Alligator mississippiensis: one gene and its partners. The protein of the gene in region 4 interacts with the protein of the main gene of each other region in a pairwise test. Links are inferred from orthologs where the notes say so. Each region holds a gene or a part of one and is shown on either strand. Other genes may lie near its edges. The genes, in order: PLXNB2, PLXNB3, PLXNB1 and ARHGEF11.

Region 1 (7,385 bases), on a different chromosome or scaffold from region 4:
CACAATCCTAGTGATCATGATTTGATCACTTTACCCATCACAAAGCTGGTAAATCAGTCAGCAATGATGACTTTTATGAGCTCAGGAGGGTGGTTGCCAAGGCCCTGAAGGATCATGATCTGACAGGGAAGGGAGTCCAAGCTGTGTGGCTGCTTCTTGAGGATGTGATCCTAAAAGCACAAGGAAAGTCCATTCTGGCCCATAGGAAAGATAGTAAAAGGGCTGGGAGACCCCCTTGGCTCAATAGGGAACTCATGGACCTCCTGAATCTTAAAAGAGAAGCCTATAAAGGTAGGAAGATAGGAAATAGCTCTAAGGAGGACTATGCATCACTGGCCCGCACCTGTAGGGAGTGGACCACAAAAGCCAAGGCCGAAACCAAGCTCAAACTGGGTACAGGAATCAAGGACAATAAAAAGTCCTTCTTCAGATATATGGGAAGTCTAAACAGAAATAAGGGCAACATTGGACCCCTGCTGAACCAAATGGGGCAGCTGACATCCAACATCCAGAAAAATGCTAATCTCCTTAATGAATACTTCACATTGGTTTTTCACCAGCCCAAGGGGATCACCATGCCTGACAGGACACAGGATTACTAGGATACGGGTGACCACACACCTACATTTGGCAAAGGCCTTGTGAGAGAACATCTTTAGAGGCTGGACATCCATAAATCACTGGACCCTGATTAAATGCACCCTAGAGTGCTAAAAGAGTTGGCTGACATCATAGTGTGACCAATGGTGTGGATATTTCAGAACTTTTGGTGCTCAAGAGAGGTTCCTGAAGATTGTAAGAGGACCAATGTGGTGCCTATCTTCAAGAAAGGAAGGAAGGACGATTCAGAGAACTACAGGCCAATCAGTTTGACCTCAATCCCTGGAAAGATCGTGGCAAAAAATATTAAAGAATCCATCAACTATAGGTTAACAGAAGGCATCAGCCTGAGAGACAGCCAACATGGCTTTGTTACAGGTAGGTCATGCCTGACCAACCTCATTGCCTTCTATGACCAAGTGAAACACCACCTGGACAGGGGGGGAGAGGCTGATGTCATTTACTTGGATTTCAAAAAAGCTTTTGATTTGGTCTCCCGTGTTGTCCTCATGGCAAAATTGGGGAACTGCTGCCTTGACAACTTTACAGTCCGATGGCTGGGGAACTGGCTCCATGGTCAGACCCAGAGAGTGATCGTCGATGGAACCGAATCAACGTGGCTCATGGTGACCAGTGGCATCTCGGATTCGGGTGTCAGAACCAGACTGGCTAAGTTTGCAGATGACACCAAATTATGGGGAAGCGTGGTCACTAGAGTATAGGCTGAGGATTCAGGCTGACTTGGACAGGCTCGCAAAGTGGGTGGATCAATCAAAACCTGATGACTTTCAACACAGAGAAATGCAAGGTGCTCCACCTCAAGAGAAAGAACCCACATCATAGGAGTACTGCATCCAGTTCTGGGCTCCACACTTTAGAAAGGATGTGGAGAACCTTGAGAGTCCAGAGGAGAGCCACACACATGATCAGAGGTCAAGAGAGCAGGCCTTATGGGGAGAGGCTGGGAGGCATGGGACTCTTCAGCTTGGAAAAGCATAGGCTCAGGAGGGACTTGGTGGCAGCCTACAATTATATCAGGGGTGTGCATCAGGGTCTGCGAGAACATCTGCTCTCCAAGGCACCCCAAGGGAAGACAAGGTCCAACAGTCACAAACTGCTGGAAAACAGTTTTAGACTGGACCTAAGGAAAAACTTCTTTACTATCCGAGTTTCTGGAGTCTGGAATAGACTCCCCTCAGAAGTGGTGCAAGCATCTACTCTGGACATGTTCAAGAAGCGTTTGGGTGATTATCTTGTTCATTTGACCCTAGCTGACTGTCTGCCCCTTGGGCAGTGGGCTGGACTTTATGATCTTGCCAGGTCCTTTCCAGCCCCAGTGTCTATGAAATTTCTAGCTCCATAGAAAGAACTAAAGAATGGCATACTACAGTCTGCAGACTATTTTACCTTAGGATAGTTGGTCTTAGTTTTTTTCCTGGCATGGTGGAGGGTGGGCAATCTGTCAGCCACAAAACAGAGAAACAAATCTACCCAAATTGCCCTGCCATATGGGTTCAGTACAAAGGGCAGGAGTCTAAATATGTGTGTGGCGACATTTCACAAATCTAATAATAATACCTTATATTTATCTAGCATTCTTCATCCAGAAGTAGACCCGAAGGTGATTTATGGACTATGAAAATATTAATATGTGTATATGGATCACTACACTCACCACTGAAATACAGCCACATCCAGGTGGAAATGGAATGTAGTGCCCCATCAGCATCAGGGAAATTAGACCTCCCTCTTGCAACAGGGGAAGTGAAAAAAAAACAGTTTATAAAATTAAAACAGGATGACAAACACTCATATGAACCTTTTGATGTCTCATCTGAAAAAGGGAACTCCTCGTATTTCTATCACTGTTGGTTTTCTCTTTAGACTCATTTCTGCAGTGGGGTTGCCATCAAGTCAGAATTGCTATTTGAATAGTAGGGTATCCAAAGTTTTGCTAAATGCAACAGAAAATTAATCATATTAATTCCACTGTTGTTACAATGGGAGACAAGGCAAAAAGAAAAAGGCCAAACTCCAAAATTGAAAAACAAAATCAGGCTCCAAGAAATCATGATTATCTTTCAGATCATGAGGTTTCTTTAAATAACAAATGTAGAGTTTATTTGTGGCTTTTTTTAACCCTTAGGATTTACATTTTTCATGCTCAGCTCCCAAATGGTGGGGCTATAAATCTATTTTTGTAATAATGAAAGCTGCAATTCTGGTATAATCATATGCCTCCAGGGCTGAGGGGTTTAAAAAAGACAGTCGATATTGACAAGCTTTAGATAAAATTCCAGGAGTTGACAGCCCTGAGAAAGGAAGCAGGAGACAGAGACAGGCAGAAACATTGTACAGGAGTGTAAGAGAGGACAATAGGGAGGTGAGAAGACACAAAGACATGCATAACGACTAAGAGATAGCAAAGTGAGGAGGGAAGTGGGATCGGGAGGAGAAAAACATAGGAAATTCAAATCCCGATTATAAGTCCTATTCACATGCAATCAAATTATCTCCGTCCCTACGCAAGACGGTGTCAGTGTAATGCCTCGCGCATCAATCAGCCCGCTGTTTGTGCACGTTTAAGCGTGCAATGATAGTTCAGATCCCTTTATCCTCGGAAACTGCCAATCATCCTCTCACCGGCTTGTTTCTCTTGCAGGGAGTGTGCTCGGAATACGATTTTTCCGGGGGGGGGGGGGGGGGGGGGGGGGCGCAGCTCTGAAGCAACAAGTAGCGACCTTTGATGTCTGGCTCTTCTGCCAGCCCCACCCCCTCAGCCGAGCCCAGCCGAGGCGCTCCTGAGGAGGGAAGGGGTGTTTACTTGCAGGAAATACTCGGCTTTTATGTAGTCCTGCTCGCTTTCAAGGGACTTCACTAAGTGGCTAATTCATTCATTCCCCCAACAGCGCTGATCCCGGCGTGATTGATGAAGAAATCAGACACGCGCCTTTTAAATGCCTTGCCGGGAGCCCCGCTGGTTTTGGGAGGCGGCAGCCGCGCCGGTCCCGCATAAGGGGCGAAATTCCCTGCCAGAGAGGGGCGAGCCAGTCTCGTGGGAAGCAGAGGCCCTGGCTCATGTCCTCGCTCCGGTCCTGGAAACACCCTCCGTGAATCGAGCAGCGAGGAGCCCCCTGCTGAGCTCTGCCCCTTCCGCCCAGCCGGCACGAGAGGGGCAGACCCGGCCACGGCTCCAGCCTCCCTCCCTCCCCGGCGCTGGGCGCGGGCCGGCCCCGGGGCCCCAGGGCGCTCGCTTCCACCCGTGGGGGCCGCAGCCCGCCCCACCCGCTCTGCCCGGCCCGGGCGGCCCACGGTGCCGCGCGCGGCGGCCGACTCGCCCTTCCCCGCCTCCCTCCTTCACTCCCGCCGGCGGCGCGCGGAGGTTGCGCGGTCACACGGAGCCGCCAGGTCCGGCCCGGGCAGGGGCGGGAGCTGCCCGAGGCGCGGCTTCGCAAGGGCAGGAGCGACCGGCCGGCCCCGGGCGTGGGAACCGCGCCGCCTCCTGCCCGGCCGGGGCGGGGGAGAGGCGCCCCCTGATCCCCGCAGCACCTCTGGGCTGGCGCGGCCCCAGGCCCCGGGCGCCGCCCCGGGAGCGCCGGGCTCGGGCGGGGCGCGGGAGGCGGAGCGCGCGGTGATGCTCTCCCCTCCCCTCCGCGCCGCGCCGCCCGCTTTCCCCAAGGAGCCCGCGTGAGCCGAGGCCGAGCCGGGCAGGGGGTGGGGAGAGGAGGAGGCGGAGGAGAGAGGGAGGGACGAGCCGGAGCCTCCCGCTCCCACTCCCTCCCTGGGCTGGTTTTTTCAGCTTCCTGTCTCGCATTGTGCTGGCGGCGGATATGTGCAGCGCCTACAGGTGTGTCTCCTCCTCGCGGCGCCTCCGCGGGGCTCCCCGCTGCCCGCCCCGCACCTGAGCGGTCCTCGGCGGCTTCTCCCTTCCCCTCGCTTCCCTTCGCGTCCGCGCCCGCTGCAGCCTCCCGCGCTCCGACCCGACCCGACCCGGCCCGGCCGCTCCGCTCCGCCGGCGGCGCCGCCCCGCACCATGGGCAGGCGGGGGCGCTGGGCGCGGCGGGGCTGAGCGCGGAGCTGTCGCAGCCCGCGCGGCTCCAACTTGGGTAAGTTTGTGCTTCTCCCCCCGCCGCCCCCAGCGGATTATCCCCGTTGCCTTCAACAGGTGGAGCTGCGGCTGCGGGCCCCGGGGCAGGGGTCCCCCCCCGGCTGCGTTTCCCCGGGGGTCTGAGTGGGCTCGATTCCGGGCGGCGCTGGGAAAGCCTGAAGCTTTCCCTCCGGGGGCAGCCGGCACGGAGGAGCTGTGCCCAGGGAGGTGCGCCGTGCCCCGTAGCCGGCCCGGGCTGATGGAAACCCGCCTGCTTCACCCCTGGCGGGGGGAGCTCCGGGCTGAGCGCGGCTCTTCTGGGAAAGGCAGCTGGAAAGTTTGTGTGGAGCTCTCTGCTCTGCTCTGCTGCAGCTCCTGTGGGTTACTCGCGTTCACTGGAAGCCGCGAGCCCGGGAGGCTGCGTGTTGGTTGTGACTCACAGAAGTATTTGCTCTGGAAGCGCCCACCCCCTGGGCCTGGCCGGGCATGGCAGTGACTGTGCCCTTTCCCCTCGTGCGAGCCCGCTGGCAGCAGGGTCGGCTTCCAGGGCAGGCAGTGACAGAAAGGATCATTCAAGTACTTTCTAGGTTAATAGTTGGGAGCAAATATTCCTTAACCCCCCACCCCTCCTCCCCCAGAAGAGCTGTGAGTTTATTTCAGCTTTGAAATCTGGTGGCAATTACTGCTCCTCCCTTGTGAACTACCCGGCCCTGTTGCTCTGGTGTTACTAGGTGTAAATAAGAACCTTGTTTTGCCTGGTTGCTTTGTTTTGTTTTGGTTTTTTTTGCTTTTGAAACTCAAAATGTTGCCTTTGAGCGGATGGTTCCCCTTTCTGCTTGTTTTGTAAATCTGTTCCCAGTTGCCTCCATCATCTAACAGGTAACGCATTCCAGAGAAACGTTACCCATTTATCCTAGTGCATCATGTTTAGAGCAAGGTAGAGAATGTGGTGACAGTGGTCACTCCCTACATGGTAACATAGGTTACTAACCAGTGCTGCTTCTCTTTGGGTGCTTGTCACAATTCCTTTGAGGAAATCACCTCTTCCAGGATGATCTCTACCCCGGCTCGCTGATGGGTCTTGAGGTGACTAAGGAGTCCAATCCTTGAACCACAGACCTGTCCACAGGAGTTGCAGGTCTTTCCACAGGGGAGGGGAGGCCATAGGCCAGGACTTCTCTCCTTTTCCTTCCTCCACGCACTTCTCTGTTTCAAGGGTGAGACACTTTACCTCCGAGCAGGCAGCCAATTGGTTGAAGTTGTGGTGCCACTGGAGTCTGTCAGCAGCCAGCTCCTCCCAAGAAGCATTCAAAATACAGGGGGGGCTGAGCCTCTCATAAGAGATGAGCCCTCCATAAACTCCCCCATAAGAGGCAAGAGCCCCTGGCCTGCCCCACACCTGCGAGGCTTTTTCTGCCTGCCCCCCCCCCCCCAAGTTAGTGTAATTCGAACCCTGCTCCCAAATCTTGATGAAATGCTATGTTGTCAAAGCCAGAGTTTGAGGAAATGCTAAGGTTGTCAAAATCAAAGTTGACCTGAGGGGTCTCTTCCTTTCTGTTCCCAGGATGGAAATCTCTCATCAGTTCTCTGGGATGAGAGTTGCGCACCAGGGTCTGGCTAAAGTAGCTTGGGTAACTCATTACCAATGTACTTGCAGTGCCGAGTGTGATTATATACTTGAGAGGCAAGGATTTGAGCGTGATTACATATGCATGTGGAGCCATTCCTTTGCTTTGCGTGCCTTCGGGATTGTGAGTGAGCCAGATTCTTGTAAATATCCAGAGTGCCTGCCCACGAGAATGGAACCGACAGCAGAGAGCATGGCTGCAACCACAAGCCCAAACTAAGCTGACCGAGGAAATCTAGTCCTTTGCTGGCTTGCCTTGAACTCTTCCCTTTTTGGTGTTGAGGGCTCTGAAGGGCTGTGTGGCATCTTAATTTGATTTGGTATGAAGTACAGATTAGTATGGTGTTTTTTTAGAAAAGCAGATGGAAGGCATGTAAAACTGAAGGGAGAGCATTGCTTGCTGAAGTTTGGATGGGTAGTTCTAAAAGCTGGAGCTTTCTACATAGCTATCTTTTGTGATGCCAGTCAGTCTGTAAGTAAGCTGCTTCAGGTTCACATACTGTCGCTGGTGTCTTACTGTGTAGTAAAAAAGAATTCATGCAAATCTTTAGGTACTTCTGATAACATATTCAGAACAAACAGATATGTCCTCCCTGTAAGACCTGACAAAAGCAACATAACTGTACTAAGAACTCTCAAGCACCATAATGTAGACTTGTTCCAACCAGTTTTCCTAATAAATAGTGGTTCATGTTAGTAGGCAGTATGTGCATGTTGCTGCAGTGTATGCTGTGGGTTTTTTCTACAGTGAGAGTGTAAATGCTACTACTTGCTTGCTATTTTGGATCAATTTACATATTTCAAGAAGTTGGGACACAGAAATGAATAGCTCTTTGTTTTAAATTAATAAAAGCATACTGGGAGTTAGCAGGTAAGCAGTGCTTCTTATTTTCTAGAAAGTCGGAGCAACGACTAGCTCAGAAAGATGTTAAATAAGGAAATGGTTCAACTTCTACTGGATCTTACCTTTGACATCTATTCTGTTGAAACTTCAAGTTGGTTTTTTTTAAAGGGGCAGGCACAGGTTTTGTGTCTGGCTGAAATAATTCTAACCACTTAATATGTTTTTAG
Region 2 (7,173 bases), on a different chromosome or scaffold from region 4:
GCCAAACTCCAGGTAGGGCAACTGGGGAATGGCTGAGCATAACAGGGCACAACAAAGGCTAAGATGCAGCCAGTTCTCAGGTGTCGCAGTTGAAAAATGGCCAGGTATAACACTGCCTGGGGAAAGCTGAGATGCAACCAGCTCTGGGGTAGAACAGCAAGGGGGAATGGCTGAGTATAACACAGTTCAGGGAGGGCTGAGATGTGGCCAGTTCTGGGGTGGGGCAACTGGGAAATGGCTGTGTGTAACACTGCATGGGGATGGCTGAGGGGCACTCAACTCTGGGGTGGGGGCAGCTAGTAACAGCTACATATAACACCATGAAAGAAAGGCCAAGATGCACCCAACTCTGGGCTGGGGCAGTGGAGAAACAGCTGAGCATAACAAGCCAAGATATAATACCCCATGGGGAGGCCAAGATGCAGTCAACTCTGGGGTGGGGGCAGTGGGCAACAGCCCAGTATAATGCCACTCAAGGAAAACCAAAATGTACCCAGCTCTGGTGTCAATGGGAAACAGCTGAATATAATAAGGCAAGAAGAGGGTTGACATGCTTGCAGGTCTGGGGTGGGGTGGCTGGGGAACAGCTGAGTATAACAGGCCGAGATGAGCCCAGCTCTGTGGTGCGACAGCCAAGGAACAGCCAAGTATAGCAAGGCACAGGGAAGCTTTAGACATGCCCAGCTCTGAGGCAGACCTGCTGGGGAATGGCTGAGCATAACAAGGCAGGAATAGGGCTGAGATGTGCCCAACTCTGGAGTGGATCAGCTGGGGACTGGCTGAGTTTAATGCTGCCCCAGACCCTACCTTGTGCAGCTGCCCAAAGGCATCTCCAAGGAAGATGATGGTGTTCCCAGCCTCTTCTGTGGCCACGACAGCTGTGAGCTGTGGCAGCTCTGTGACTAGGGCCGGGGCCTGGATGGGCACCAGGCTGACAATTGGGGAGGGCGTGTGCTCATCCCCACATGGGTACAGCTCTGATGACTCCTGGGGGGAAATGGGGGGCCAGGGGTTAGAGGTGATGGGGATGTAGATAGCTCTAAGGTGGAACCCGCTCCTCCCCCCACTGCTCACCTGGGGCAGATGGGTGCAGTGAGATGTGACCCCATAGGCGATGGCGGCACGGGGAGGGTCAATGCCTACCCCCCCACCGTGGCTGTAGCAGGCCTGGCGTGTGGCCTCGGCCTCGGTCTCCAGCACCTCCAGTGGGAAGACGCATAGGGCTGAGAGTAGCCCAGCCCCTGCATCTGCCACCACGAATAGTGCTCCGTGCTGGCCAGACCTCAAGGCACCCGCTCGGGCCACAGGATAGGCCCCAGCCTGGCAGTCCAGGGGCACCTCTACATAGGAGTAGAGCTGGGGGTCTGCCAGGCAGGCCCGGGCAGCATAGGTCCGAGGCTCAGGTTCGCTGGGGCCCCCACGACGGGTAAGAAGGAAGTAGGCATGGGTGCCAGTTGGTGCGGCCAGGATGTAGTGCAGCCCATAATCCCCAGGGTCTCCCACCACGAGGCGCCCCAGCCCCTCACCAGAGAAAGCATGGGGGCCCTCGAGGTGCCGGACAGTGAGGGGAGGCACAAGGCGGGTCCCGGAACTCCCCCGAGCCACCCAGAGGAAGGTTCCATGAGCCACAGCCACGGTGGGGACCCCAGCATCTGGGGCAGCAATGAAATGTCCCTCGCCAGGGTCTGGAGGAGTGGCGAGGACATGCTGAGGGTCGGCCAAGGCCCGGGCCTGGCACAGGCCGTGGTGACGTTGCCCACAAGTCAGCAGGCGCCCACTGGGGGTCTCAAGAAGCAGGCGGTTGGGGTTGGGGAGATTGGGGGGATTCTCTGTGGTGGCTGTGGCCAGTGGGGCCAGGCCAGGGCCCAGGCGGTGGATGGCATTGGTGGCACCCACATACACGTCACCCGTGGAGGCCACCAGCAGGTGCTGGAAGGAAGCATTTGGGGGAGCAAAAGTGGGGAGTGGGAAGGGTTCCCCCGGAAGGGGGGGCAGCAGCAGAAGCAGCAGGGGCAGAACAGGCCATGGGAAGGTCATGGCCAAGACCTGTGGGGGAAGAGGAAAGGATTAAAGGCTGGAGTGGGGAACCCAAGTGCCCAGGCAGCTCCCCCAGGACCATCACCAGATGACTCAGGTGTCCAAACAGCTGCCCCATAACCCGGCAGACTGGACTTGACCACCAGAGAACCCAGGTCTCTGGGAGTCTCTGCCATTGCCTACCATCCCCATCCAGTGAACCCAGGTGTCTGGACAGCTTGCCCAGGACCCATCACCCCCTACAGAACACCCAGGCATCTGAGCGCGTATCTTGGGATTCATTACCCCATGGAGAACCCAGGCGTCCAGACAGCTCCCCCGTAACCCATCACCCCCAAAGAGAATCCAGTCATCCAGGTGGCCCCTCAAAACCTATCACCCCAAAAGAAACCAGGCATCTAGGCTCCCAGCCCTGGCTTGCTATCACCTACCAGGATCAACTCCTCTCCCAGGGAACCCAGACGTCCGGGCTGTGGAAATGCTGTTGCTAATCCACACCCCCTTCCCTCCCCCTGAAATCCAGCACAGACAAACACCAGATGGGGCCGTCAGGCAAGGAGGGGACACAGACATCCAGGCTACCTGTCCCCCACTCCCCACTCCTAGAGAACCCAGGTGCCCAGGATCCCGTGCCCTGGGAGGGGAAGGGAGGGGTGTCCTCACCTGTGGCTGCCAGGTGCTGAGGAGGTTGCCTGGTGAGAGGAAGCCCTGCCCCCTACTCCACCCTCCACAAGGGCTCAGGTGCCCCAGGAGCCCTGACACGCCTGCCCCTCCCCCACTTCCCTTACCCCAAGGAGGGGTTGCCTGACAGACAAAGGCACCAGGCAAAGAACTCAAGTGTCCAGGCTCCCAGCTCTCCATGCTCTAGCCCCTCCTCTTTTCCAAGAGAACCCAGGTGTCCAGGCTGCCTCCAGACCCTGCCCCCCAGCCTTCCCAAGCTAGAGAACCCAGAGATCTGGGTCCTTGTTCTAAGCCACCGGACACCACTCACCTGGTGAGGGGAAGCCCTGAGGTGGGGAGGGAACCCAGGCATCTGGGCATTCAGCCCAGCCTGCTCTGAGTCTCTAGAGAACCCAGCCGTCCCTGATGCCAGCCCCACCTGCTCTCACCCCCCCCCAACCCCTATTCCCCTCCCAGAGAACCCAGGCCAGAGCCGGGTGCTCCCCACTGCGAGGAGGGAACCCAGGCGTCTGGCTGAGGGCGGGGGAGGGACATCCCTGTGAATGGGGCCCTGTCTTTTCCCCACCCTGCCCCATCAATGCCCCTCTGTTCCCTCAGCGACACCCGGCTCAAGGACCCATTATGGGATGCTGGCACGAGGAGGACCCCGGAAATGGGGGGGGGGAAGCTGCAGGTCAGGAGCAAGGGGCACCATAGGACTGGAGGGGCTGCAAGTCAGGAATGAGGGGAACTGCAGGTCATGTCAGGGCTGCTGGTCAGCACTGAGGGACATTGTGGGGAGATGGGGGTGTTATTACAGTGCCCCTCACTCCTGACCCACAGCCCCAGCTGGAGCCACCAGCCCCTCCCCCCTCCAGCCGCCCCCACGTTTTGGGGGGGGAAGGGAGGGCCCTTGGGGGCTGCATCAAAGGTGCTTTGTCCCGGGCACCCGGATGCCTGAATTCTCTGGGGGCAGCATTAACCCCATCGGCACTAAAAACTGCTCTGCTTTCACTCCTGACCCACAGCCTCCACCCCCAACCTGTGGTGCCCCTCACTCCCAAACCGCAGCCCCCCATGGGTTCAGTGGGTGGCTAGGGGCTGTGGGTGGGGAGTGAGGAGCACTGTGGAGCCAAGCTCCACCCCCCACCCCCTGTCCATCCATCTGTCACACTTTGAGCCATCCTGACGGCCCTTTTGTGGTGCCTGCATGTTTCTGGGCCTGAACCTGTTACCCCGAGCATTGAAACCCCTCCCCACCCCCCTCAAGCCTGACTGCAGAGAACTCAGGCATCCAGGCTCCCACACCCCCCTGCTCTGAAATCCAGCTCCCACCCCTGCCAGATAACCCAGGTGTCTGGGCTTCCAGCGCCCCCTCCACTACCCCTGCCCCCCATTCACACCTGACCCACAGCCTGCCCCACAGCCCCACGGTACCCCCTCATTCCTGACCCCCCTGGGCTCTCACCTGTGGCTACCACTACAGCAGTCAGTGTTGGCACTGGGAACTCTGGGTGGACTGTAGGGAGGGAGCCTGGGACAGCTGGTACCCAGGGTCATGGCCACGGGTGGGGCCAGTGCCAGGGGCTGCAGGTCAGGAGGGGCACCATGGAGCTATGGTCAGGTCTGTAGTTTGGGAGCAAGGGGCACCAGGGCCAACTTGTGCACCCAGCTCTGGGGTGTGGCCCCAGGCAGCCGAGTCATGCTAGGGGAGAGCAGGAACAGCAGGGCTGTGAACTGCCCCAGGGGGGCCCCAGACCATGGAGTGGTTTGGAAGGAGCCAGACAGATGGACCCAAGGGTCAGCTTCACTGGTGGAGGGGGAACTGGACACCTGGGTCCCCCTGTCTGTTTGCATGTGTCTGTCTGTCCCTGGGTTTCCTTTGTGTGTGTGTGTGCATGTATGTGTGTGCATGTGCATATGCTCTGGATGCCCAGGTTCCCTGTGTGCATTCCAGAACTTGCATTCTCTGTGCCTGTGTCCTGGATGCCTGGGTTCCACGTGTGTGTTGAGTGGCAAGTGAGGAGGGGGAGCAAAGTGTTGTGTCTGGGACACCTTGGTCCTCTATCTGTATGTCCCAAATGCCTGGGCTCCCTGTGTGTGTGGGTGTCCAGGATACCTGGGTTCTCTATGTGTCTATGGCCTGGATGCCTGGGTTGTGTGTGTGTGTGGGGGGGGAGCAGCTGTAGCCAGGCTGGGGAAATGGGGGTGGCGGGGGGAGGGCTGCTGGGCTTGGAGCCCCTCCTCCTGCCCTGCAGCCCCTGAACTCCTGTGTTCCAAGAGGAAATAACAAGGCCATAAACCTGTCCCCCCTGCTGGGCTGGGAAAAAGAGGGACAGGAAGGTAACACCCAGGGATGGAGGGATGGTAGCCTGGGTTCTCTGGGACAAGAGCAGTGGCTGGGGGGTGGGAACTCAGATGCCTGAGTTCTTTGGGAGGGGGGGTGGGGCTGAAGCAGGGCCAGTTTAATCTGGGATAGGGAGCAGACACATGCAGTCACTTCCCACATCCGTTGCAGCCCTAGGAGCAAGTTACTCCAGTCTTCCAAGGTGTCCTGGCTCCCGGCTCTGACCCCCCCCCCCCCTCACCTCCCAGGGAACCCAGGTCTCCAAGTTCTCAGAGGTCTGTTTTATCTGTGGGGTGATGCCATGGGAGGCTGCAGGTCAGGAGTAAGGGGCACTATGGAGTATGGGGGGGGAGCTGCAGGTTGGGAGTGAGGGGTATAATGGAATATGGAAGGGGGAGCTGTGAGCTGGGAGTGAGGGGCACTATGGAGTATGGACAGGGGGGCGGAGGGAGGGGCACCACAGGGCTATGTGGGGAGCTGTGGGTCAGGAATGAGGGGCACTGCGGGGATGGGGGTGGCTGCAGGCTGGGAGTGAGGGGCACTGTGAGTTAACCCCTGCCTGCCCATGCCTCAGATGCCCAGCTGCAGCCCAGAGACCCCTGTGGGGCAAGAAGGGGTGGAGCCAACTGTCAAGGCAGGCACTGGTGAGTCCTGGATGCACCCAGCTCTGGGAGTGCAGCTGGGGGCAGCTGAGTATAACCCAGATGCCTGGGTTCTCTCCAGCTGTGGGGTGGGGGGGAAGGAGCTGGGAGCCCAGACACCTGGGTTCTGAGAGGGGAGTGGGGCGGGCACGAAAGCAGCAGAATCTGGCAGCCCAGACTCCTGGGTTCTCCCTCTCATTGCAGGCCCCGTGGTCACCAGCTGCCCAGGGAGCTGGGGGGCTGGAGCAGGGCGGGGCAGGCTCCTGCAGCCACTGCCCCAGCCACCAACAATAGGTTCCATCACCACCACCCTCTGCAGCCAGAGGAGCTACAAGGCCAGAGTATCCCACATCCAGGAGACTGCAGGGGAGGTGAGGGGAACTGTGGGTCAGGTATAAGGGGCACCATGGTGTATGGGGGGGTTGTGGGTCAGGAGTGAAGGCACCATTGGGCTATAAGGAGGGGCTGCAGGTTGGAAGTGAGGGGCTGGAGAGTTAAAATGGGGAGCTGAGAAGCCAGGTGTCTGGGCTCCACCCTGACTCTGGGCTGTGATGGTGAGGAAAGAAGGCCCAGATGCCTGGGTTTCATGGGAGGGGGGGGAGTTAAATGGGGAATGATAAGGGTGGCTGCCAGGAGCCTGGACACCTGGGTCCCTGGCTGGGGTGTAGCTAACCTCCCCTCTCCTCGCTCAGATGGCTGTGCTCTCTGCACCCTGGCCTGCCTCTTCTGTGAACTCAGGGCTCTCTGCTCCCTGGCCCTATGCTGCAGAAGTGAACCCTGCTGGGCAAGGGCAGGACCATCAGCTGGGGGAGGTGGGGCCTGCAGTTGCCCCTGGAGCCCACGGGCTGTGATTCAGCCTGCCTGGAGATTGCTTTGGAGTGCTGTGGTATGTTTCCCCATTTAAGTCTCCTCATGAGAGGCTCTGCCCATCCCAGGCCCCGCCCCCTCTTCAGGGCCGAGCCCTACCAAGGTAGCCTGCGAATGAATGAGCCACAGCCTGCTGTGATGCATCTGGACACCCACCCTCCCATCCCCCACCTCATCCTTTCTGCATCTGATGTTATCCAGTGAAGTATTACCAGGACTATGAAATCGTAGGTGAGGATGGGAAGAGACTAAGATAGCAGTATCCAAATCAGGCCATGCCCCTCTGTGACTTCATTTAACCAGACCATGCCCTTTCAAACCATGACATCATTTTGTGACTCAGATCTGGCCCACCCAGGCAGTGATGTCATGCACAGTGGTGTGCCCTGCCCATAGTGGCTATGACCTAATCCTTTGGGCCGAGCCCCACCCCATTGGTTGTGATCTCCTTGCCCATCCAAACCCCACCCACATCCAGGAGCCCTGCCCACATGGCCTATCTCATTGCAGAACCAGCCAAACACACCTACCTCACTTGTGATGTTTCCTTCCCTAAACTCGCACTCCAACAACCAGTCACACTGTCTCCATTGTGATGTCACCTGACCACCAGTGGGCCTT
Region 3 (7,740 bases), on a different chromosome or scaffold from region 4:
CAAGTTTTGCACAAGTTTACAGTTTGAGGAAGATCTCAAATTGCAGGAATGGAACACAAGAGCACCTGCCCAGGAGGCACCAAAGCACTCCTGAATGAGAGGAATGTGTTTGTGGTGAAAGATGAGAACTCAAGAACAGGATATGAGCATTCAGTCTCCCAGCCCTGGTGGGAAGATCACTGTACTGAGGGAAAAGCCTCTCTCAATCCTCCTTCACCTCCACTGGGCAAATCACAGATACAACATTTGTCAGAAAAGCACCTTCTCTACAGTTTGCAGCAAAAAACAGTCAGAATGAAAAAGGACTGTAGACTCCCTTGGGTTATTAATTCCACTGTAAGGTAGGGATTCTTTTTTTTTTTTTTAAATTAATGCCTTTCTGCAAACCCCAAAACTTATCTTATTAGGATAACACATTCCTTGTTGCTTAGGCAGAGTGTCACAAAGAGCAAATACAAGAGCACAAAGGCACTGACTGAGATAGCTAGTTTTAATATCAAAATTTGAGAGAAAATTCCCTGGGAAGTGTTAGCAATTATAGAAAGTCAACCATAGAAAATGCCACATCCAGTGCTTTCAACCCCGGAAAGCCCTTGCTTTTCAGTTTTTAGCACAGACCAGATGTGCACATCTACATTTTCCCCTATTCATGGTGGGGAAAACCTCCTCTTAAAGCACAGCCCATCCACAGGAAAATCGGAACATAGACCCACGGAATACACAACCAAGTCTGTTAATTTGGAGGATTCCAATGCATACAAATTAGGCAACGAGACGTCCATGTTATTATAGGATGGCTCAGCTTTAAATTCCTATAAACTGCAAGACCGAGTCCTGTTTTTGATAGGAATGTTCTCTCCAAAGGAGGTGCTTTCCTCTTAACCATTTACCCTCTACTTTTGCTCCTAATACAGGTCAAAACTTATTTCTTCTGTCAGACATAGAATCCCCCCTCCCCCTGAGCTCTTCTACTTCCCTATCAATCTTCTATGCTCTGTATCTTGAATATTGTATTGATTTATCTTTTTCTACTGCTCACCAATTCTCACACGTCACTGCCACCCCACACAAGATCCAGAGGGGATTTTGGACAGTCCACGATTCCACAGCCAAAAAGTGCTTTTGGTCTTCTAAAGCTCTTCTTTAAATTCCCAATCATGATGTCACAATCATTGTTCTCTAGGAAACCAACTGCTGACCCAGTAATGGCCTCATCTTTATCAATTCTAACAACTTCTCAAATAGTTACCTCTTGTTGGGTGCGATACTTGTTATAAAGTCATCTAGATAGTATTTGCTTAAATGCAGGCACCCAGGAATTTGCAACAGCCCACAAAGCAAAAATGCTAACACCACTCAATAATTTTCATTTGTGATATAGGAGACCAAGTTTGTAAGTCAAAAGTCAGTTTGAGCTCTCACACATGCAAACACAAATGCCAAGGAAGGTCTTCCTGTTGAGTGAGAGCCCATCTGTAACCCTGTACAAACTCCAGCGATGGTCAGCTACACACAAACGTCACAAACACTAGCAGACATCCACCATGCACAACAACTGTGTTTCTATCCACCTTCTCCGATGAGGTGCAACTTGCCCTGCCTGGCTGGACTCGGAAGCCTCTTTCACACCCACATCGATACCACAGCTCTGTACTTTGCTCAACGGGGAAACGATGCACGGCTCTGGCACCCGACGGGTCCGAGTCACCACTGACTAACGTAGCTAACGCGCTCCTCGGTGCCGGTCCCAATCCTCCCGCCCTCTCGGCCCTCCTCCCTTTTCTCGCTCTTTCCCAAACAGGCTGCGACTAGTGATTTTATATTCCACTTCGGTACATCCTCCAGCTGGGCTTAACCTGATGACAGTTTCTTCTTCTTCAGTAGCCACAGTCCTCGTACTGGCATATCAACAAGCAAGTTCTCTCTTTGTATTTTGCCACGTTAGTTAAATGTTTTCACAACATGCCAAGGGGGTCTCTCCCACCTTCGCATCATGCTGGATGCTTGTCACCAGAAAGCAGGGTAGGTTTGCACCGCAGAGACTAACCAAACCAGGTCTCTTTCATATGCAAGACACATGCCTGGGCTATGCACCCACCAACACCGATACACAGCACAAGCTTCCAGTGCTGAAGCGCGCTGCACCGATGCTGTGAAAGGAGGTGCACAACCCCATGCAAGCAGAGTATCTGCCACCAGCTAGGAAGGGCTGGAGGGGGCTCTCAACCGGAGCCGTGTCGGGGGCCGCGGGGCTGGCAGGCGGCGCTCTCCACGGTCAGCTGGGGCAGCCCGCGCCTGGGCCGAGCCTGCTGCCGCCGCCAGCTCGGTGGAGCCGGTTCCCGTGGCGGGCTGCGCGGGCCAAGCGGCAGGGGCGCTGCCCATGTGCGCACGCATGCGGGCGGGGCGCACAGCAGCGCCCCGGTAAGCCGGGCGGGGCGGGGCGGGGCGGGGCGGGGCGGGGCCGCAGCAGGCGCGGGCTGCATCCCGGGCGGGGGAGCAGCGCTGCCGGGGCACGATCGTCCCCCCGCCACCTCGGACCGTGTCCGCCCCGCCGCTCGGTGCTGCCGCGCTCGCCCCAGGGCTCGGGCTCCGGCGGCGGGACAGCGCTTCCACCCGCGCCCGGCCCGGCCCGGCCCGCAGCGCCCTGCTCGCTGCCGCCGCCGCCCCGGCCTGCGCGTCCCGGGGGCAGGGCCCGGTCCTGGGGCCCGCAGGCTCCGCCGCGACTCGGAGCGCGGCGACCTCCCAACGCGCCGCGACCGGCCCCGGCCCGCGGCCCCGGCCCGCTCCTGCCACCAGCCCGGGGCACGGGAACAAAGCCGCGCCGCGCTGCGCTGCGCTGCTCCGCCCGCACCTGCGCCCGCGCCCGCGCCAACCGAGCCCGCTCCGCCGAACGCCCCTACCGGGGCCGGGCCGGGAACGGGGCCGGGGCCGCAGCCCGACACCTCCTACCTGCGCCTGCTGCCGCGCCGGGTCGGGTCGGGCCGGCCCCGCCCCCCTCCGCCCCCGTGCCTGCAGCCACGCCCTTCAGCCAGGACGCGGCAGGGGCAGCTGCTGATTGGCTGTAGACGCGGAGGCTGGGCGGGGCCGGCTGCTGATTGGCTGCCGGGGCGGCGGGCACGTGCTGAGCCGAGCCCGAGGCGGCCGCCCCGCCCCGCCCCGCGTCGTCGTGTCGCGACATGTGGTATCGCGGCGGAGCCGGCCCCCCCCCCCCCCCGGCGGCGGGCGGGGCGCGGTCCCGGGAGGCCCCGCTCTGCGAACGGCCCGCGCCCGGGAGTCCGCGCCTCAGCGCCGGGCAGCTCCCTCGCGCCGGCAGCCTTGCCGCTCCGGCCCGCGCGACCCCAGGAAGGGCAGCGCGGGCTGCAGGAGCCCCAGCCCCGCGCAGGCCGCTCTGCCCGACCCGGGCCCGGCCGCCGCCGCAGACCGTTCGCGATGCGAGGTGGCGCATGTCGCAGGCTCGCTCGCGCGCGGCTGAAGGGAGGTGTGCGCGGCGCTGTGCAGACACCAGGGGCATCCCAACAGCGCTTCTGTTGCTCGGAGCTGTCGGTGTCCGCCCCAAGGACACGTCTGTGCTGCCTGGGGTGCCATCTGGCCCCGCACGCGGAAACAAGGGCTCGCGGGCGCTCAGTAGCCTCGTGCAGAAGACGGCAAGTTCTGCCTCTGCAGAGCGACATGTCCCTAGGTCCCCTAATGCGAGTTTGATTTCCTAGTCCCTAATAACGGCATTGCTTTCATTGTTGCTCGGCAAGACAGCTGGCTCCTAGAGAGTCTCGGCGTGGCCGGAGGCGAGGTGGCGGCAGGGCGACCAGCGCAGAACCAAGGTCACGGGACGTTTGCTTCACCCACGTGCCGCTGCCACGCGGTCCTGGAGTTGTGAGACGTGAAACAAGCACCCGCGTCCATCCACCCTCGAGATGGCTGTTTCTGCATGACGACCTCAGCCGAACCGCAGCTGCCGGCCGTGCGCGTCTGACAGCCTGCCTCTCCCTGAGAAGGAAAGGGAACGGCAAACCTGTGGTGGGGCCGCGTCGGGTCTCAGGTAATTCCTGCCTGGTTCACGCACCGTTTTATGGGGTGGAAATCTACGGCTGGGGCTGTTGGGAGGAGGAGTCTGTTCCAGTGTGGCATGGGGTCGTACAGCTGCAGCGGCCAGCGCCCCAGGGACATCAGTCCTCACAGTAGTCTGTCTGTCTAGATCCGTGGTTCTCAGCCAGGATGCCAGCACACCCGCGGTTGCCTCGAGATCCTTTCAAGGGTTCTGTAGGGTGTCGCACGGTGTTAGCACTTCTAGGTGTCCAAACATGATTTGCAAGATAGACCCAGAGATTTCAAATAGGAATCCATAGCGTTAGAGCTGTCTGGACTTGTGGTCTTTCTGAGTTCTTTGCAACATAAAAAATACTCTCTTCTTCCATAGCCAAAAAGAAAAAAGAGTTAAAACTAAGATCTGGCACTTTCTGAGGGGTACCTTGAGTCTAAGGTGGGGGGGTGGCTTACCTTGAGTCAAAGGTTGAGAACTGCTGGTCTAGATTTTGATAAATCTTTTCCCTCACCACGTCACCTGTGGGCTTGCCACAAAAAAGTGAACACAGAACTTGACTTCCAGCTCTTCTGACAGGAGCATGCTTCAAGTTAGTGTAGGGACTTTTTAGACTAAAAGGTATCCATGGCAAAGATACTGATGCATTTGATATTGTAGGAAAGTTATACTGGGTTTGCATGTAGTTCTGAGAGCGATGGTTCTTCTTGTTTCCTCTGGTCTTGGGCCAGCTCTTGTGACAGATTTGTCCCTACAGATAAGAATTCTCTCCCAGGAGTGAAAAGAGAAATCCAAGGGAGATGCAATCTAACCAGAAATTATCTTTGCAGCAGTGTTGTGAATGATACTGGCAGGGCAAGGTTGCATTTGTCAAGGCCAACAAAAAAAAAAAAAAGGACCGATGAGAACCTGAATGAAAGTGTTAGCTGTTTACCCCAGGCATTTACTGGACAGTTCTCCAGCAATTCATGGATAAGAAGCTTGCAAGAGAGTCCACTCCAACAGGGCAAAGGGACCAGTGCAATTGGTGGCGGGACAGTAAAAACCATGTCTTAGAAATTTTATGAAAAGATAATCTACAACATTTAGACATAACTGGATGGAAAAGGAAATTAGCCTCAACTCTTACCTAGAAGGGCACTTGCCTTCAGAACAGTATGTCTAACTGAAAGACTAGTACGATATAGCCATGAATAAACTGAGACTGGAAATTAGGAGGTGCGTAACCATCGCAGCAGTAATATTCTTGAAGTGCCTCTCAATTAGAGCTGGAGGCAAAAACGTAACTTTTTTTTTAAAAAGAGCTGGATGGGTTCATGAATGGGACTATATGATGGACGCGGTTGTCAGGGATAGCAGAAGGCTGGACTCGGTGACCCAAGAGGTACTGTCCAGTCCCATGTCTTATGCAAGTCACAGCTGTGAGGCCATCTGATCTGTGTTAGTGGTGTCCAAAGGCAAATACATCTCTTTCAGGTGCCGCCGGCCAGAGGACTGCTTCCAGGGCTTCCAACCAGTGACCTGAGCACCTGCAACCTTTAGGGTTTGTTAGATGCGATGAATGACCCTAGGTAGAGATTTATGTCCTGTAAAATCTCTGCCAGGTCCAGAGAACAGCAGTTTAGGGCTCTGTGAATGTATTCCTTAAGCTTCTCTTTGTGCTGGCTCCCTAAATACAGAAGCCGGGACGAGCCTCAGCATTCCGAGCCCTTAATGGACTGGCTGTTCGTCAGTGGGATAACTCCTTTCCCTTCACAAACTCCCACGACAGCTCGGGAAGAGGCCACTGTTTAAGATATGGAGACAAGCAAGTGAAAATATGTTCCCAGCATCTTCACTGGGCTGCTCAGCCAGAGCATTTGAACTCCCACAGGAGCAGGGGAGATTTGCCATATCAAGTGCAGAATATTTCAGGGTTTGTAGTATTCTCTGTCCCTTAGCACAGCGGGATGTCAATTCAAACATCTCAGAGACAAGTAGCTCACAACGCTGCAAGGAAATGGAAAACTCTGGGTTTGACAAGTAACCAAGCTGCTGCTGCTGCTGGGCAGTTTTGTGACGGCTTTCACAAAGAAACCAATTGTATCAGAGAGCTGGGATAGCGCCTCTGAAATGAAAACTCAAACTTGCCAACTTGTTTGGAGGGCAAATTGATATTCCAGAGCCCTGATGGTAGTGATCTCAGCTCTGTCTTGAGATTTAGACTTAGACATCCCCTCTGGAGAATATCACATGGCTTCTCTCCTCTGTAATTGACAGTTTAGAATCGCTTTGTTGTCTGACATCGTTTGTGAGTAGACCTAATTAAAAAGTAGGATAAAGGGTGTCATTGATCAGTCAGTTAGTGGGCAAAACCCTAAGCTGATGTCAAATGATTTGACAAGTACAGCCACATCAGGTGTCCCAGATGTAACACAGTTTTGATTTGCAGAATAAAAAAAGAATAAAAGTACTCTATAAGTTAGTTAAAGGCTTGGCCATGTCTAGGAATTCATCTTGTTGCACATTAAGTTTGAACCGGGACGGGGGCAGCAGAGCTGTATAAATGGGGACACCTAGGCTAGGTGTAGCAAATGTAAATTGATGCTTGGTTTCAGGGCCCAATGCAATGGGACAGGGTCTGATATATTAAGTGCTGCACAAATAGAACAAAGAGATATTCCTTAACAGAAAGAATGAACTGAATAACAGTTCTGCAAGTAATTTGGCTTCTCCCTTCAGCAGCCATTAAAAACAGCAGGGAGGAGGCTGGGCTGAGCTGGGATTTTAGGAAAAGCAAACAAGCACTGGAGTGGATTCTGCAAGGTACAGAATTAGCCTGTTACAAAAGGTGCCAACTGAGTGGCCTTTCCATTTGGCCTGATGTGCACCTGGTGCAGTGATTCTCAGCCAAGGTGCTAGGATACCCTAGTGTGTGCAGAGATCATAAGGTATGCAAAGATAGGCAGATAAGGGCAGCAGGCTCAGTTTCCTCCCTGCTGGGCTGCAATCCTGTTCTCACTGGCTGGCCCCTCTGCAAGAGGTAAACAATGTGAGATGTAAATTAGTGTTTGAAATGGGTTGCTGCTCAGATCACAAAAAGTATAGAAGGGTGCCCTGAGTCTAAAGAGGGGCACCTTGAGTCTGGAAAGGTTGAGAGCCACTGAGCTAGTGCACTGCTCTCATAAATTCATGATGCCATTTTGCAAGTTTGAGTCAAGCCTCCCACACACATTTCTGACATTTCAGAGGCTACAGTTGGTGGAAGTCCCATTTATTGAAGTGCCAAGCATCTACTCCCTTCCCTGTTCATTATACTCTCTTTGCTCCTCCCTTCCCAACAGTCTCAGCAACCTGAGGGCAAGAGTGGCAGTTCAAAACTTTAAGCCAAATGAATGGTCCCACAGTTTAGTGGCAGTTCCTTGGTTCACAGGGTATTTCAGTGCCACCTGTAGGATGAGCATGTAGGGTCTGGGTCATGCCTCCTGGAGCTCTGCTGGTTCTGAAGGGCCACTCAGGATCACATAGCCAGAGCTCAGCAAAACACTTAAAAGGAGGTAGATCACTTGGTACCTTCTCCCCTCCCTTTTCTTCCCCACCTCTCACAGACAAAGGCATCCAATTTCTACATGCATTCCCACCAAAAACGCTGCACAGAGCCAGACTCTATTACATATGGAGCTCACTGCAAATACAGTTTATCTAATCAGAGCCATTCTAACTAA
Region 4 (6,843 bases):
AATGACCGAAGGGAGGGGAAGCGAAACAGAAGCACAAGGAGGGACCCGAGTGGGGGCAGAACCCAAGTGTCCTGACTCCCGGTTGGTGCCGGAGCAGGCTGCTGCCAGTCTCACGCCTCTCCCTGTCTCTCCGCAGGCTTTGGCTCCATCCCTTCACCCTGCTTCTTTGGCTCCTACTGCAGCCCAGGGGTGCAGGATGAGTTCCCCCACCTGGCTGCCTTCCCGCCCCCCAGGCTCACCCCTAACGGCAGCCGCCAGCTCTGCTCGCCCAGCCACTGCCCTGTGCCCAGCCCGCCCGAGTGGCCACGCTTCTCTGGCCACATCTTCCCCCACGGCCAGGCGGTGCTGCCCCTGCCAGAGCACGCCCAGCCCCATGGTCCCTTGGGGTTCCCCAAATCAGATGCCCTCTTGTTGGGGGTCAGCTTCCTGCCCCCTCGGCTGCAGGGGCAAGCCTTCCCTGGGCACCCACTGGGCACCGTGCAGGGGGCTGCAGAGAGGCTGCAGTTCCTGCTGGACGTGTCCCCACCTGAAGAGGAGGAGAGGGAGGATGAGGAAGGCCAGCACCGGGCTCCTTCTGCAGAGCACAGCCAGGAGGTGAAGCCTGAGGTGGAGCTGGAGCTGGAGGGCACGGCTCTGGGCAAAGACACAATCTTCCTGGGCCCTGGAGGGGAGGGTGATAGTCCGTGTTACCCCTCCGAGCTGAGAGCCTCTGCCGGAGCTGCCCCCCGCCTCCCCTGCCTGTCTGGCTTTAAGGCCGCCTGGCCCTTGGACCCCACCTAAAAGCAACTCCCCGGTGCCGTGTCCCCCTGCCATTTTGCCCCTTCCTCCTGCCTGGCGATGCCCGAGCCTAGCCCCATGCCGCATCTGCCTGTGAAGCGTGCACAGCTTGTCTCGTCTCATCCTGCCCCGTCTGTGTAAAGGATGAACCGGGCCATGAGAATAAACCCAGTTTACAGACAACCGTCTCTCTGGCTCTGACCCTGACCCATTTCCTTGTCACGGGGGGTGGGACAGGACTGTACCCGGTGCTTTTTGTCCAAATCACCTGCACATACTGTCTTTGAGCAGAACGCTAGGAGATGCTTCTTCTGGCATCGAGGGGATAGATCATTCTAGAGATCTCTGGTTTGATGCTGTCTGCTACAGGAGCCAGGAGAGCGACCGAAAGGTACCATTGCTCTGACGCAGTATAGCTCTGCTCATGTTTTTATGTTCCCCTATTTACTGGTGGATGCTCTGCCTGTGTCGTCCAGCTGCCTAACGGGCTAGCACTTGCCTAGCTGCAATGCTGAAGGGTCCAGGTCAGGAGCTGCACCCTGGAGCACCGGGCACTGTACAGACACGGCTGTGACCCTGTGTTACAGGGAATCCCTTTCTTCTCGTGGAGGGTCTGAGCGCTAGCGGCCTCCTCTGTTTCATTGTCCAGGATCCAATTCTTGAAGCGGGTGGTGGTACCTGCAAGCGAGGCATAATGCGGAGGTCCCAGGCCAAGTGCTAGATCCTGACTTAACGAAGCTGAGCGAATTAATTGTCTGTGGCACGGGTGCCCCCTCATGGCCACCTCTGGTTTTAGCAGATGTTTCCCATGGCTCATGGTTCTGGTGGTGGATCAGATACACACCCTCTTTCCCGCACCCCGCTAGTAACCTCAGGGGTAGGGGCTGCACAGGATGAACCGAGCAGGATGCGGCCCATGTAAGCCAGGGTGAGGTGGGCTGCAGGGCACGGATGCTTGCACTTGGGGAGCTCGGCTGGGCCTGCTCAAGAGGCTGAGAGAGTCTCCTTCAGGCTGTGACCCCAGAGGGCTGGAATCGGGGCTGGAAGGGACCTCGAGGGGTCATCTAGTCTGACCTCCTGCCTGAGGTAGGATCTGTGTTCGAAACGTGTTTTTCTGTTTTAGCTAAAATGTGTTCGGTGTGATTTAGCACCTGGTGTAGACACAGGCAGGTCACATATGAACACATCTTCTGTACTTGTGGTTTATCTGCCCCTGCCCAAAAACATGGTTTTTAAATCTAGCTGTCCTTGTTCCCAGCCCAAGCAGAACCGCATTTATTTATCGGTTGGTTAATAGGGTGTTTCGGATGCAATGTATTTTCCACAGTTCAGAGGGTCTGTGATGCCTCTCATACCCAGAGAGGTGGTGGCATCTCCATCCTCGGAGGTTTTTATGGCCCGGCTCAACAAAGGCTTGGCTGGGATGTGATATAGTTGGGGCTGGTCCTGCTTTGGACTAGATGTGACCTCCCAAGGTCCCTTCCAACCCTCATTTTCTGTGATTTTTTGATTCATTCAGAGAGTAGCTGAAGCCGTGGGGATGAGAAGTGGGGGGGGTGGACCACAAAGGCCCAGGCTGTTGTGCCTGCAAGAGGAGGGATCTGCTTTGCCTGAGACATCAGGCCAGTGTCTGAGAGCAGTGACGGGTTCAGATGGTGGATGAGGTGGTGAGAGCCGGCCACCCTTGCACTGGGGAAGAGATAAATGTCCAGCTCCCCTGCTGATCTCCAGGCCTCAGGGCCTCGAGACACCGCTTGCCACAGTTAAGCACTCTTTTCTTCCATGCAGTCACAGTCCCAACCCAAGCACTGACAGAAGGGCAGTGCCCAGAGGGTGCTGGACCTCCCAGCCAGATCTGCCAGGCTGCAAGGCAGGGCCAGGCCACTCCGTATACCCCTGCCATGATGCATAGGTCTTGTACCCCGCCCCCCGGGCACATGCAACTCCCCCTCTCCTCCTGGTTCATGCTAGTGCCTTTGTTCCAGGTGGGTTTCTCCATTGCTGCAGTGACTATCTCCAGCTGTGGGCCCAGGACAGGCGAGCAGCTCGAGATGGCTTCCTGTGCGTACTGGGTTGTACCCCATTAATTCCTGGGGTCAAGCAGCACAGCTCAGCGCTGGCACTAAGATTGCTGCACAGAGCCGGCTCCAGGGCTCGCTGCTAGCTGGCACGCAGGCTGCAAACAGAAAAGTGAAGCAGGCCATGCCAGGAGGGACTTGCAAAGCGAGTGCCACCCTTGCCCACATGCCTGGGAAGGACGAGCCGTGCCACGGGGCCCTGAGGAAGAGGCTCTTTGGGAGTAAAACCTTTTTGGTGTTTGTTGAAGCGATACAAAAGCCTGGCAGGCCTGGTCCCCGGCCAGCAAAAAATGTTAACGGGTTCATGCTGCCCAAGTGAGGCCGTGCTCAGGCAGGGGCTGGGAAGGGGTCCCTAGGGTGCTAAGGTGTTGCATGGTGCAGCTGAGGGTCTCCAAGCCTATTAATTAAGGGGTTCAACCCAATGGAGTGTGGACTGGGTGCCAGACGTGGGGGCTTGCTTGGGTCAGGCCTGAGAAGCAACAACCCTCCTGCCGGCTGGAGCAGGTGAGTATTGTCCCCCACTGTGCCAGGCGCCTGGAGGGAGATGTGAGCAGAGCAGGGCAAAGGGGAGGCGCGACCTCCTCCCTGCCCCGCCAGCTAACCCCCGCAGCAAAAGCGGGGCTCAGCTAAGGTGGGGGTCACCTCCTACGTGGGGCTGGAGCCGAAATACAGCCACGGGGTTAGGGGGGGACAGAGCAGCCCTGCTGCTGCAGGCTCCAGCCGCTGGAGGGACCCCTCGCAGCTGATTGCAAAGCAATTACCCCCCCCAGCAGTTAAAAAAAAAGAAAATAGTAAAAAATAATAATACTAATAATAATACGCCAGGACACAGCCACACCCCAGGGCAAGGCTGCAGGGTGAAGCCCCCCGGGGGTGCCCTCCGCGGGCATGGCCCCGGAGCGAGCGGCTCGGCGGGCGCGGGGCTGGGCGGGGCGCGGCGCGGCGCGGCGGGGGGCGCCCCGGGGCCACGTGGGGGGCAGCGCGGGGCGGGGCCGCATTAGGCCGCTCGGGCTCGGGCTCCCCGGGCGCCGGGCCGGCGGCTTCCCCGAGCCCTCCTGCTGCCGGGCGGCGGCGGCCCCGTTTCCCGGGGCTCCTGCACATTTGGATGCACCCCCTCTCCCCCCCTTTCTTTCTTGTGTTGTTTTTGCAAGGGGACTTGGCTGCTTTCTCCTTGTTCTTGGCAAATTGGTTTTTTCTGGCAATATCATTTTGATTGCTGGCTGGGTTTTTTTGGTCTTCCCTCCCCCTTCCCTGCGCTGCATTTGTTTTGGAAGCCAGCGGGAGAGGAGGGGGAGGGAGAAAGGGCACGATGTGGAGGAGCAAACTCGAGATGGACTTGCTGCTTCCCGGCTCCTTTTTGTCGGAAGGAAATTGATTTTTTTTTTCCGCCCTCCTCCCTTTTCTTGTATTATTATTATTATTATTATTATTATTGGGGGGGGGCGGAAGAAAGCCAAGAACCGCCTCTGTGCATGCGTGTGCAGGTTCCCCTCCCGGGAGGGGGGATGTGAGCCCCCCCCCACCCCGCCCTTCCCGTCTCCCCCCTCCCCGATCCAGCCGGGAATTTCGGGATCCGCGAGGACCGGGCGGAGGAATCATGAGCGTGAGGCCTCCACAGGCTGCGCTGGACAGGTACGGGGCGGCTGGGGGGTGCCGCGGGTCGTCTTTGCCCCCCCGCCCCGGGGGATGGTTTTGGGGACGCGCGGGGGTCGGGGGGTGCACAAGCGTCGGGGTCCGGGCGCGGCCCCGGATGCCCGGCGTGCGTCTCTCTCAGGCTGCGTCTGCCGTGCGCTGGGCTGTGTTTTGAATCCTTTTTTTGCTTGCAGCCTGCCATCCTGTTCCTTGTCTGGGTCACCTTTCCCTTCCCGTCATTCGACTTCCTCTGTTCCTGTCTCTGCAGACTGCAGTGGGCTGCGACCGGGCCTAGTTTAGAAGTTAGTCCGGGGCTGGTACCCAGGGCCTGCTCGGACCCCGGCCGCCTCGTTTGCATGACATCCTGGTGTCGCTGGGCTATACGGCCCTGCCTTGTCCCCCCCTCGTTTACCCCAGCACGCTCCCCCCTGGAAGGGCAGATGCCTTCCCTGCACCCTGAATGGAGCCGGCAGTCCTCGGGCCGCTTCCCCTGGTCCTGTGGAGGAATCTCGGTGCAGATGGGTGCTCCCTGGCCGGGGTCTCTGGGGCTTTGTGGCAGGCCTCTTGCAATCTGCTTGGGGATGTGGCAGCACGCAGGGTATCGGCATTGAGGGACCCCCTCCCCACTCCAACCTAGCTCAAAACAGAGGTGCCGTGCAGAAAACACTCCACTTATTCTTCTCCGCCAAGTGTTTATTCTCCTCTCTCACATCCTTTGGTGTGAAAAGACACAGGATAGAAAGCAGCTATCTGAATGTGTTTTGTGTGCTCGGGTTGACTTATTCTTATTGCCCGCGTGCTTTCTCTGTTGTTCAGCTCTGCTCGGCGGATTTGATCGTCGACTTGCTTTGGGATTTCTAAATTCTACCACGCGGGAGCTGATTCGGGGCGTTTAGCAAAAAAATCGAGGCTGGGGAGAGATGGTCATGTCTGAGCGCACTGTGTGCTCTTCGGTGGCCTGGTCCATCCACGGCCTGGGTCTGCAAACACTTTCCAGCGGGGGTTATGCTCCCCATTGCAGTGGTCCCATTCAGTAGAAGTGTGGGGCTGCTGGAGATAGTTGCACCTCCGTGTGAAGCAACCTCTGGGATGGAGGATGTCAACAGACCAGCACATGTCCACAGAGGAATGAGAGGTGAGAAGCAAACCCCTTTGGGGGAGTGCTGGGGGGGAGGTCTTTCTTGCAAAGCAGAGAAGGTTTTTGCTTGTGCCTACCAGGGCTTGAAGCTGTGTTTCGGTGCAGGGGGAATGTGCCCCTTTTAAGACCAATTGCTTGGTCTTGAAAGGGGCAGATTCCCCCTGCACCATCCCTTTTGGCACGATTATTAAGAGGTAGCCCAGGCTGTCTGGGTGAGGCACACTGCAGCATGGGTGTCTGAAGACTGCCTCTGGCAGCGACTGGCTGTGGGATGTGGCTGTGTTTTTTCATTGATGAGTCTTCGCTGTTAAAAACAGTAATGATCTTCCACTTCCAGTCTGAGCTACATCAAACCCAGCCACTCCTTTCCCAAGTAAATACAAAATTTGATTAGACAGATGCGGGGCCTGGCCAGCTGGGGACTGGAGATTGTATTTACAGCCTAACAGATTTCTTTCTTCCTTGGTCTCCTTGCCATGTTTCTAAAGGCAGCTGAGCATAGCTACCAGCTGCTGAGCCCCTCCAGGGAGGTGCTAGGGTGGGCAAGTCATAGGAGGTGATGGGGTGCGCTCAGCAGAAACACCTGGCCTGCCTATGTTGGCAGGCTTGTGCCTCAACCCATTATCTGGGCATGGAGATCATTCGTGGTGATGAGCCCGAGTTGTCTGATTTTGGAGAATTTAAGTTGTTTTGGTTTCTAGCCCTCATGGCTGCGCAGTCAACCTTCCTCCTAGGATGTGCAAGTCTGCAGGCCGCTCTGGTGCCTTGGCTGATGCTCAGTTTTTTCCAAGTGGCTACGTGCGCAGAGCAGATCTTCAGAGCCCCTTTGGTGAAACCAGCCAGCAGCCGTTTGGCTTCTTGCTTGTGTTGGAGCTGGAGGTGTCGGAGATGCCCGCAGGGTAGGAGGGTGAGGCCCCAAAGTAGAGGTAGCCACAGGAATCCCCCACTGGAGCCCAGAAGTGGAGAGAGAAGGCTTCCTCGGTAAATCCTTGCCTCCTGGTAAGAGAGCAGAAAGCCCAGGTGCTCAGCGCAGCAGGGGTCTCTGCTGCAAACCACCCTTCCTTCCTCCATCGGCAGCCTGTGACGGAAGGCAATGAAGCTCCTCGTCCTGCCACCAGCCAGAAGCTTGTGAGAGAAGGTCTGTGGGCAGCAGCCAGCTGGGACTCCAAACCTCCTTCCTGGCACTGCGAGGAGCAGGGGGCAACAATATTTTCACTC

What was found.
Region 1: the proteins of ARHGEF11 (region 4) and PLXNB2 interact in a two-hybrid assay, tested with the Homo sapiens proteins (2 studies listed by BioGRID). The link is inferred for Alligator mississippiensis from reciprocal best matches to the Homo sapiens genes ARHGEF11 and PLXNB2.
Region 2: the proteins of ARHGEF11 (region 4) and PLXNB3 interact in a two-hybrid assay, tested with the Homo sapiens proteins (2 studies listed by BioGRID and IntAct). The link is inferred for Alligator mississippiensis from reciprocal best matches to the Homo sapiens genes ARHGEF11 and PLXNB3.
Region 3: the proteins of ARHGEF11 (region 4) and PLXNB1 interact in a two-hybrid assay, tested with the Homo sapiens proteins (2 studies listed by BioGRID). The link is inferred for Alligator mississippiensis from reciprocal best matches to the Homo sapiens genes ARHGEF11 and PLXNB1.

The regions. Positions count from the first base shown.
Region 1 is NC_081827.1:40,570,395-40,577,779, reverse strand, and holds the start of PLXNB2 (plexin-B2), read left to right. Parts: upstream 1-4,368; 5' UTR 4,369-4,447; intron 4,448-4,619; exon of another isoform or gene 4,620-4,706; intron 4,707-7,385.
Region 2 is NC_081831.1:28,575,909-28,583,081, reverse strand, and holds the start of PLXNB3 (plexin-B3), read right to left. Parts: upstream 3,005-7,173; 5' UTR 2,899-3,004; coding exon 2,701-2,898; intron 2,676-2,700; exon of another isoform or gene 2,469-2,675; intron 2,047-2,468; coding exon 1,075-2,046; intron 988-1,074; coding exon 808-987; intron 1-807. UniProt on the Homo sapiens protein: Receptor for SEMA5A that plays a role in axon guidance, invasive growth and cell migration. Stimulates neurite outgrowth and mediates Ca(2+)/Mg(2+)-dependent cell aggregation.
Region 3 is NC_081835.1:218,382-226,121, reverse strand, and holds the start of PLXNB1 (plexin-B1), read right to left. Parts: upstream 3,002-7,740; 5' UTR 2,950-3,001; intron 1-2,949. UniProt on the Homo sapiens protein: Receptor for SEMA4D. Plays a role in GABAergic synapse development. Mediates SEMA4A- and SEMA4D-dependent inhibitory synapse development. Plays a role in RHOA activation and subsequent changes of the actin cytoskeleton.
Region 4 is NC_081838.1:16,528,197-16,535,039, forward strand, and holds the start of ARHGEF11 (rho guanine nucleotide exchange factor 11), read left to right. Parts: upstream 1-3,843; 5' UTR 3,844-4,452; coding exon 4,453-4,487; intron 4,488-6,843. Other genes in the region: ETV3L (ETS translocation variant 3-like protein), read left to right, coding at 137-780. UniProt on the Homo sapiens protein: May play a role in the regulation of RhoA GTPase by guanine nucleotide-binding alpha-12 (GNA12) and alpha-13 (GNA13). Acts as guanine nucleotide exchange factor (GEF) for RhoA GTPase and may act as GTPase-activating protein (GAP) for GNA12 and GNA13.